2 linked regions of the Oryzias latipes genome follow. The protein of the gene in region 1 binds, or shares a complex with, the protein of each later gene. Links are inferred from orthologs where the notes say so. Each region holds a gene or a part of one and is shown in the gene's direction. Other genes may lie near its edges.

Region 1 (3,512 bases):
TTCGATGGCGTGCCGATCACACGCAGCGTCCAGGACAACAACTTCTGTGCGGTCAACCCTCGTTTCCTGGCCGTCATCACTGAATGTGGCGGAGGGGGGGCCTTCCTAGTGTTCTCGCTGCATCATGTGAGTATCTGCGTCCCGTGCAAGACACACTGCCAAACCCTTTTTTGGACAGTTTTTTTTAAAGACATACTCGTGTGGAGTTTGTTTCTGACGTGTTCAAAGAACACTTTTAGCAGCTCATGTTGTCCACAGAGGCAAGCGTATCATTACGGAGCTGCCAGCAGGTCAGACGGGTTACAGATTTATGTTCCTCCATCAGACAGAAATGCTGTTCCATGAACGCTGCCACACTGATTATTAAAATAAATGACATTTCCTCTGAGCTTTAAAAGTCACTGGAATAATTGTTAGGTATTCTCTTCGTGGCCTTGCACAATGTTCTCAAATTTTATGATTCCAAACCCACTAGTTTGTCTGGTTATTCGGTCGCTTTACCTGGTTGTGGGTTTTTATGGTCCGCTTTGTTTTTCACAATACTTCCTTCTTAATTTAAACAAAAATTTTGCCCTCGCCACAAACTCAAAAACTCACTGAAATGTGCAAGTCCCAAATGCTCAATGAAAAAGAATTTTTAGTGAACAACCCCACACCCCCCACCCCACCCCACCTCCACCCCCGAACCCCCAAGAAAGAAAAGAAAGTATGACATCACATTGGGCAAAACTGTCAAAATAATGAACGGCGCTAATATTTCTTGGAGCTAAAAAAAAAAACCAATTCACAATTCACTTCTGAAACTGAAACACGCTTGTCCAAAGGAAGTTTTAAAATAATTATGGGATGAACACAAGATCTACAGCTGGCAGCCATTTTGTGGCAGTGTCAGATTTGGTGATTTTCACATTTTTACTTGATTTGAGAAAAGGAAACTTTTCCCAAATTTCACACAGGCCACCATCTTGAATTTTCAAAAGAAAAAGTACCAGCTACAGATTTAAACTCCTCCTAGAATTGCAAAAACAGCAAAATTATAAAATGTATGATCTTAGTCGGGGTGGGATTATATAAGGTCGGTTCTTCCCTCTCCTTTTTAAGCAATAAATTTACTGTAAATCAAGATCTCCTGGACTTCAGCTATTGATCACTATATTTTATTAAGCAAATGTGACTTAAGTGTGTCTTTATTTGTTTTATTTTTTTTTTATCTGTGCTTTTCATGATTTCTGTAATGAGTTTAATAAATCTGTGTGAATTTTTTATTGTATTGACTTCAATTAATGCTTGAAATCAATCAATCAATTTATCAAAATCAATCAAAATCAATCAATCTATTGCCTCCTGCCTCCCAGAGCATCATTGGGAAGCTAATTTTGAAAAAATGTTGGAATTAGAAGTTAACAATTTTAAACAGCATTATCGTGGCGAACTTGGAAAAGTGGCGTTTCTCTGTTGTTCGCACAATTTTTATCAAAATATTGTGAAATGTAACACGTCGTCTTTGACTCAAGCTGAACCTACAATATGAAATTATTAGAAATGTGGGTGGAGTTGAAAAAAAAAAACACTCTCGTTTCCATGAAATCCAAAAATGTACTTTTGCAGATTCTCCTAAAAATGGATAGCTGTCCGTCACCCTTAGCGACAAAAAAAGAAAATGGTTGCTATGGAGATAAAACCAACAGAAAGGCTGCCATTTTGAAAAAAGTAGTTTTTTTTAAAATCATAAATGTGTCAAGTAAAGCGCTGAACAGGGTGGCAGGGGCAGGGCAGATGGGGAGAGTGAGGGGCATGTAGCAGCCACTCAGTAAGTGAGGTCAGATAAATGTTAACATGTAACAACTTTATGAGAAAACCTTGACATGAATTTTAGGACACCTGCAGACCTAAGAAGAGGAACAGGGGTGTACCTGTAATTTATTTTATTTTCTACATTGAATTAATCCTAATACCACTTTTTTTTTTAACCTGAATTAGCAAACCGATTAGAAAACTTTTTGGTTTTTCACTGGATCCAGCGCTGGTCGCCTTGGTGGGAAAAACACAGCAGTTCGGGTGGAGCTGCTGCTTTTTGACGAAGGAGATGGAGTTGAGTTTGCAAGTTTGGGCACAGCTCCTATTTTGTGGAAATGCTCACTCATCAAGTCTGATTTTTCAGGGAACGGTGATAGCCAGCAGGCAGCACCTGATGGATTTATGTGAATGAAAACAAATCGTGGCTCACTTTCAATTTCTCTTTCTGCTCTACATCGTTCGATCGGTTAGAAAACGATAAGAGCTGCTAAAGGGAGTGAAGTTAAAGGCACCTCATAGTATGACGGCGCGCTTGTTTTTTGGCTGGAGCTTCCAACACTATAAAGCAATCTGATGCCACCACTACAGTTTAGGTGTCTGCCAAAATCCAAAGTTCCTCTGTAGACAGAAATCCTATATTTTTTTAAAGACCCTCTCCTTTTTGGTGTTTTTAACATGTTCTTGTGGTGTTTTTTTCATGATGAAGGGCATATTTAAAAAAAATTACGCTCAAAGGTATCAATTTAGATCAGGGGCAGACGAAAAACTGATCGGAGTGGGAGGTTTTGGTTTCTCTGCCTGAAGTCAAACTCTAGGATAATAAAAGACCTGCGTCTGAGCAAATCTTTCCTTTTCTATTGTTCTTCTTTGTTTCTCTTACTTTTTGTGCATTGTTCCCTTTTGTCTTCCTCACCACCAGGATTCAACAGCAGCTCTTTCATCCAAGCCATCCCATCTACTGTTCCCATCAACAGTGAACTTGTTCGCTTCATTTAAAAGGATTTATCAATCTCAAACACTTCTCAGTGCTTTGCCTCCTTGCTGTTCGTGCCCCCCCCCCTCTCTGGCATGCTCACAAAGCGTATAGGAGCTTAGGAATGACATAACTCATGGTTTGAAGCCCCCCCCTGCTCTTTTTTTTGTCTCGGGGAGGTGGAACTTTGGCGCTCCTGCTCCTCTTCTTGACCACCTTTGTGTGGACACAAATATGCTGTTGCTCCCTGCTGAGGGGAGGTGTCGCTCATGACCAGAGCAGAACGTCTTCTTCTTTCTGCTTGTTCTGGATTCTGTGGGTCTGCAGGTGTGTGCCTGTGTGTCAGGTTGTGTTCGTCTGTAATTAGTCATCTCATTGGGGCAGAAAATCCCAACTGACTCTTCCCTTGTTATAGGACGATCAAATGTGGGGTATTTGTCATAAGTATTTTGTGTAATTCTGCTTTCAGTTGGAATGGTTTGATGTTAATGTCATGGTCTGGTGCACTGCAAGCAAGATGGAAGCGCATGCCCGGGCCTGCAAATACCAGCACATCCTCTTTAGTCAGTCACATTCCTTCATCCTCTCCCAACTGGAGCTGCTCTTAGAATGTTTCTTATTTTTAAAAAAGCGTCACAAATCTCCTCTAATGTTTGAGTGGAAATCAATAGTTCGTTCAAAGTACAATGTGGCCCCACAAAGATTCTGATAAATGTCCTAGGGAGATGTTATTTAAGTGAGT
Region 2 (4,173 bases), on another chromosome or scaffold:
GAACAGCCAAAGGGAAATGTGATCCCCTTCAACCACCTTTCTGAGACCTTTGTCATTCATTCATTTAAAAAGTAAAATCCAGCTTGGCAGTGTAGAGTTCCCAGAGTAAATGTCATCTGCACTTTCACTTCTCACAAACACAATCTTTTACATATTCATTTATGACTTTTTCTATTTTGCAGTCTGAATTGTATTTGCCTTCTCTGGTTTGGTTTTTGGGAATCGTACTCCACAGAATGCCTGATAAAGAAAAGTGAAAATAAAATCTCAACCGCTATGCGCTTGTATTTACTTCTGAGTGCAGAAAACAGAGGCAGAATTTGTTGAGTTAAATTGACCCCTGCCTGGTAATAAGTATAAATAGTGCTTGTCAAATTTTGACAAGACTTTGATGATGAAAAAGATTTTGGTTTATGTTTTAAAGTCAATAATTTTCAAAAGAATAGTGATAGTGCTGCCAGCGGTAGTGATCTTTTTTTTTTTTCCTTTTGATTTATTTTATTTTAAATTTAAAGAGGTCACGGTAAGCTTTATTTTTATTAAATTGTTAAATCCCAAAACACTAGTATTTCCTTCCTCATATTTAATCTTTGCGAGGACTATAATAGGATTCAGACTGCTCAATCATTCTCTGCTTTCAGTGGTAAAATTATTTTGACAGCTAATATGATTATTGTTGTTATTATTGTTAATTTTAGGTGGCTCACTTTCTAAAGAAGTTGTAAAGCTGAGTGTAATTTTCTTTTTAAGTTTCTTATTTTTTAAAAAGGATTTACAGTAGAACTCTGTATACGGCTGCATTAATGGCTCTTTCTCTCCACTCATGATCGTATATGATAAAATGTTATGAAAGTTGATATTTGTTTCCTGACTTTTTTTATGGTCTGATGATTTTACTGGATAGTAAAAAAATTACATTAAGATTAAAAGGTCATTAAAAAAAGGTGGGATCTAGTCCTAAATGGAAAAACTGTTGCCTATCTTTGATATGAAAGTTAAACAAAACATACAAAAGAAAAATAGGAATATGTTTAAAGTATTTTATCTCTCTTGATAAACCTAGGTAAGTTTGGTCTTTTGATTTTAGAAGTACGTGGCTGTTAGTATAAAAAAAAGGTTATATATATAGTCTGTAAATATAGAGAAAGTTATTAAAAAATGGGGGCATTGGAATGTCCTTATTACAAAATATAGGCTAACTTAAATTTAAAAATATGAGTGCAACATTTTTATTTTACAATTAATACTGTTTTTAAATTCTGTAGTTCAAAATGTGACTTCTGAAATCCACTTAAGCTAGATTTAGAAGATCTAAAAGTGTTGGTCTGAATTTAAACTCCACATTGAAACGCAAATTCCCATGATGCAAATGGGGCAGCCGTGTCTTTTAACCGGAAGTAGAACTCTTTCCCCCGGTCCTAAAACCTCTGTTTATATTCGCGGCCGAAAGTTTTGCCGGATAAAAGCAAAAAGGTAGATATTACAAAAGGCGACACAGTCTGGTTCTTAAAAACGGCAACATTAACGATAAAAGTAAGCATCTTTTCTGAAATAAATTAGCTGTTAGCAAGCATTAAAATAATATAGTATAAACTCCGTCGCGCACTTATTTGTTTAGCTGGTGTGGCTAACTTTAGCTAACAATTGGGTCTTTTTGCACACAGATATACGCATGTTTGTCTTGGACGTATCTTACTTATCACAAACATTCATGTTAAATTTTGCTGCTAGATTAGCGGGTTTATTATTTTTAAAGATTTTGCCGTCTTATCCTTGTTCAGGCTAGCATCACGCAGTACTTGTTTAAATTAAGCTAGGTCATGGCTCGGTATAAACCCTTCCAAAACAGATTAAAAGGTTTATTTAGTTCAATTTTCAGTAAAATTACTTGAGTCTTTTTAGCCCACTTATACTAAACCTCTGAACTTTAAAACAGCTGGCCCCTCCGTTACCAGTGACCATGCCTGCCTTGTTGGAGAGACCGAAACTGTCCAACGCGATGGCCAGAGCCCTCCACAAGCACATCATGAGGGAGAGGGAGCGCAAAAGACAAGGTCAGTGTCATCAAATGAAAAGGAGAAGTAAGTTAACCGAACAGAAATAATCATTCTTCTTTGATTTTCTAGGAGATTTCATTTAAGGCCCACTCCAATCAAATCTTGATCTGTTTTAAAAGCGTTCCCAGTGGCCAGTTTATTATGATTCTGCCGGTTTTAGGCTAAATCAAAAAGTCTGTATCGTTTTCTAGGACGTAGTTTTTGCAGAACAACAGTACCTCACATGGATTTTTTTTGCCTCCAAGTGGAGGCCTCATAATGGAGCAGAGCAGGCTGCTTGTGGCTTGCTGTTGGGTCTATGTCAAAACTGTGAGCTTTTTACAATGACGTTTTTACATCTACTCCTGATTCACAATGATTTGAATAAAAAAAAAATTATATATCTCCTCTATCATGAAAAAAAAAGGCCACAAGAACATGTTTAAAATACCAAACATATAATTTTCATTGGAGTGGGTCTCTAAAATCTGTCTCTGACCTTCTTGACAATTATCATTACAAGTAACTTTATCATGTTTCAGATGTGTGAAAGTGTTACAGGTGATGCTAAATCTTGTCCCTGTAACCTTTCAGAGGAAGAGGAGGTGGATAAAATGATGGAGCAAAAGCTGAAGGAGGAGGAGGAGAGGAAAAGAACCAAAGAAATAGAGGAAAGGATGTCATTAGAGGAAACCAAAGAACAGGTGAGCACCTGCCATCAAAGATGACCCTTATTTTAGGATTTTTAACTGACTCTTTAGTTCTTCCTTTTAATGACATTTCTCCCCTGATGTCAGGTGATGAAAATGGGAGAAAAACTTCAGGGACTTCAAGAAGAAAAGCATCAGCTGTTTCTGCAACTCAAAAAGGTTCTCCATGAGGAGGAGAAGAGGCGCAGAAAGGAGCAGAGGTATTTTCATTCAACAGTTGTTTAGTCCACGAATGATGCCTCTTGTAATTTTGCGCCTCCTTCTGTTATCAGTGATATAACAACGCTGACATCTGCCAGTTACCAACAGAGCCTGCCCATGCACACAGGACAGCACCTCCTTAATATTCAAGGTGAGCTACTAAACCATGAATACACATTTCATAAAAAGGTTGTATGTTTTGTTAGCTAATTTCAGCACTAAGATCATTTTGTTTGTTTATTTATTTCTTTTTTTGAGGGTAGGTAGTCCAGTGAGCCACAGTCGAGCTGGAGCACTACTTGGAGAAAGAAACAAACAGTTGTACACAACAACCGTGATCCCTGTAAGTACAAGTGGGCTGTTAAAAAAACGTCTTGTTAAGTTCTTTACTTAGTTCTGTTGTTTGGAAAAGCCTGGGCCAAGCTGCTTTGCTTTACTTCGGTTCTAACCCGAGTAATGCCTACAAAACCTGCGTATAGCCACTTTGCATATAACCAAAAATAATAAAGTGGACTATTATGAACATTTTATTCTCTAAATCAAAAAAAATGTATCAAGCTAAAACAAAACCACCTCCACAGAACAAAACTGTTTAAGAACAAGGAAGGAGGATATTCTTTAAACAACCTTGTGTACGGACAGCCCAAAAAAGTCAACATTTCTGTCTGTGAAAATGAGTAAAAATGATAAACACAATGGAGAAAAAAGTGCAACCTGAACATTTTGGAAATGTATAAATTAGAAAAGGAGAAATGTGATGTTTGGTTCCTAGATGCTTTTATTTATTTTTTCCCCTTCAGTTATTTTATGTTTTTAATTTTTATTAGTAAAAATGTATGTATTAAATATAGTAAGATTGGTGGTGGGAATTAATAAGATTTTCCTTGTACCCACTCCTTTTTCGAGCACTTCTATTTATCATGTTTATAGCTATTTTATTTTGAAAATAAAAGTAAGTTAATGGAAGGTTCACCGCTGAAACTCTGTTTTTAACAACTTTTTGTCAGAGTCTAAAGCCCTACCTAAATTCCAAACCAGCTTTTTAATACAGAAAATATATTTTTAAAGTGTTTATCCCACTGTGTATGAAAAATAATTTTTTTTGGTGGCCTAGCAACTACACAAAACATTTTTTTTTGTGGAAAATGTCAATCAAATGTTGTCAATCAAGTCACTCTTTTTCCCAGGTTTTCTCACTTCCTCTGGCTTATCTCTAGGGACGGCAT

Evidence for each region.
Region 2: coro2a (region 1) and gps2 share a complex: the UniProt entries of both Homo sapiens proteins name them as parts of the N-Cor repressor complex. The link is inferred for Oryzias latipes from reciprocal best matches to the Homo sapiens genes CORO2A and GPS2.

Annotation. Positions count from the first base shown.
Region 1 is NC_019859.2:16,876,789-16,880,300, forward strand, and holds part of coro2a (coronin-2A), read left to right. Parts: coding exon 1-126; intron 127-3,512.
Region 2 is NC_019876.2:14,446,374-14,450,546, forward strand, and holds the start of gps2 (G protein pathway suppressor 2), read left to right. Parts: upstream 1-1,366; 5' UTR 1,367-1,473; exon of another isoform or gene 1,474-1,533; intron 1,534-1,936; 5' UTR 1,937-1,960; coding exon 1,961-2,081; intron 2,082-2,630; coding exon 2,631-2,740; intron 2,741-2,833; coding exon 2,834-2,946; intron 2,947-3,018; coding exon 3,019-3,098; intron 3,099-3,210; coding exon 3,211-3,290; intron 3,291-4,164; coding exon 4,165-4,173. Other genes in the region: gabarap (gamma-aminobutyric acid receptor-associated protein), read left to right, coding at 1-22. UniProt on the Homo sapiens protein: Key regulator of inflammation, lipid metabolism and mitochondrion homeostasis that acts by inhibiting the activity of the ubiquitin-conjugating enzyme UBE2N/Ubc13, thereby inhibiting 'Lys-63'-linked ubiquitination.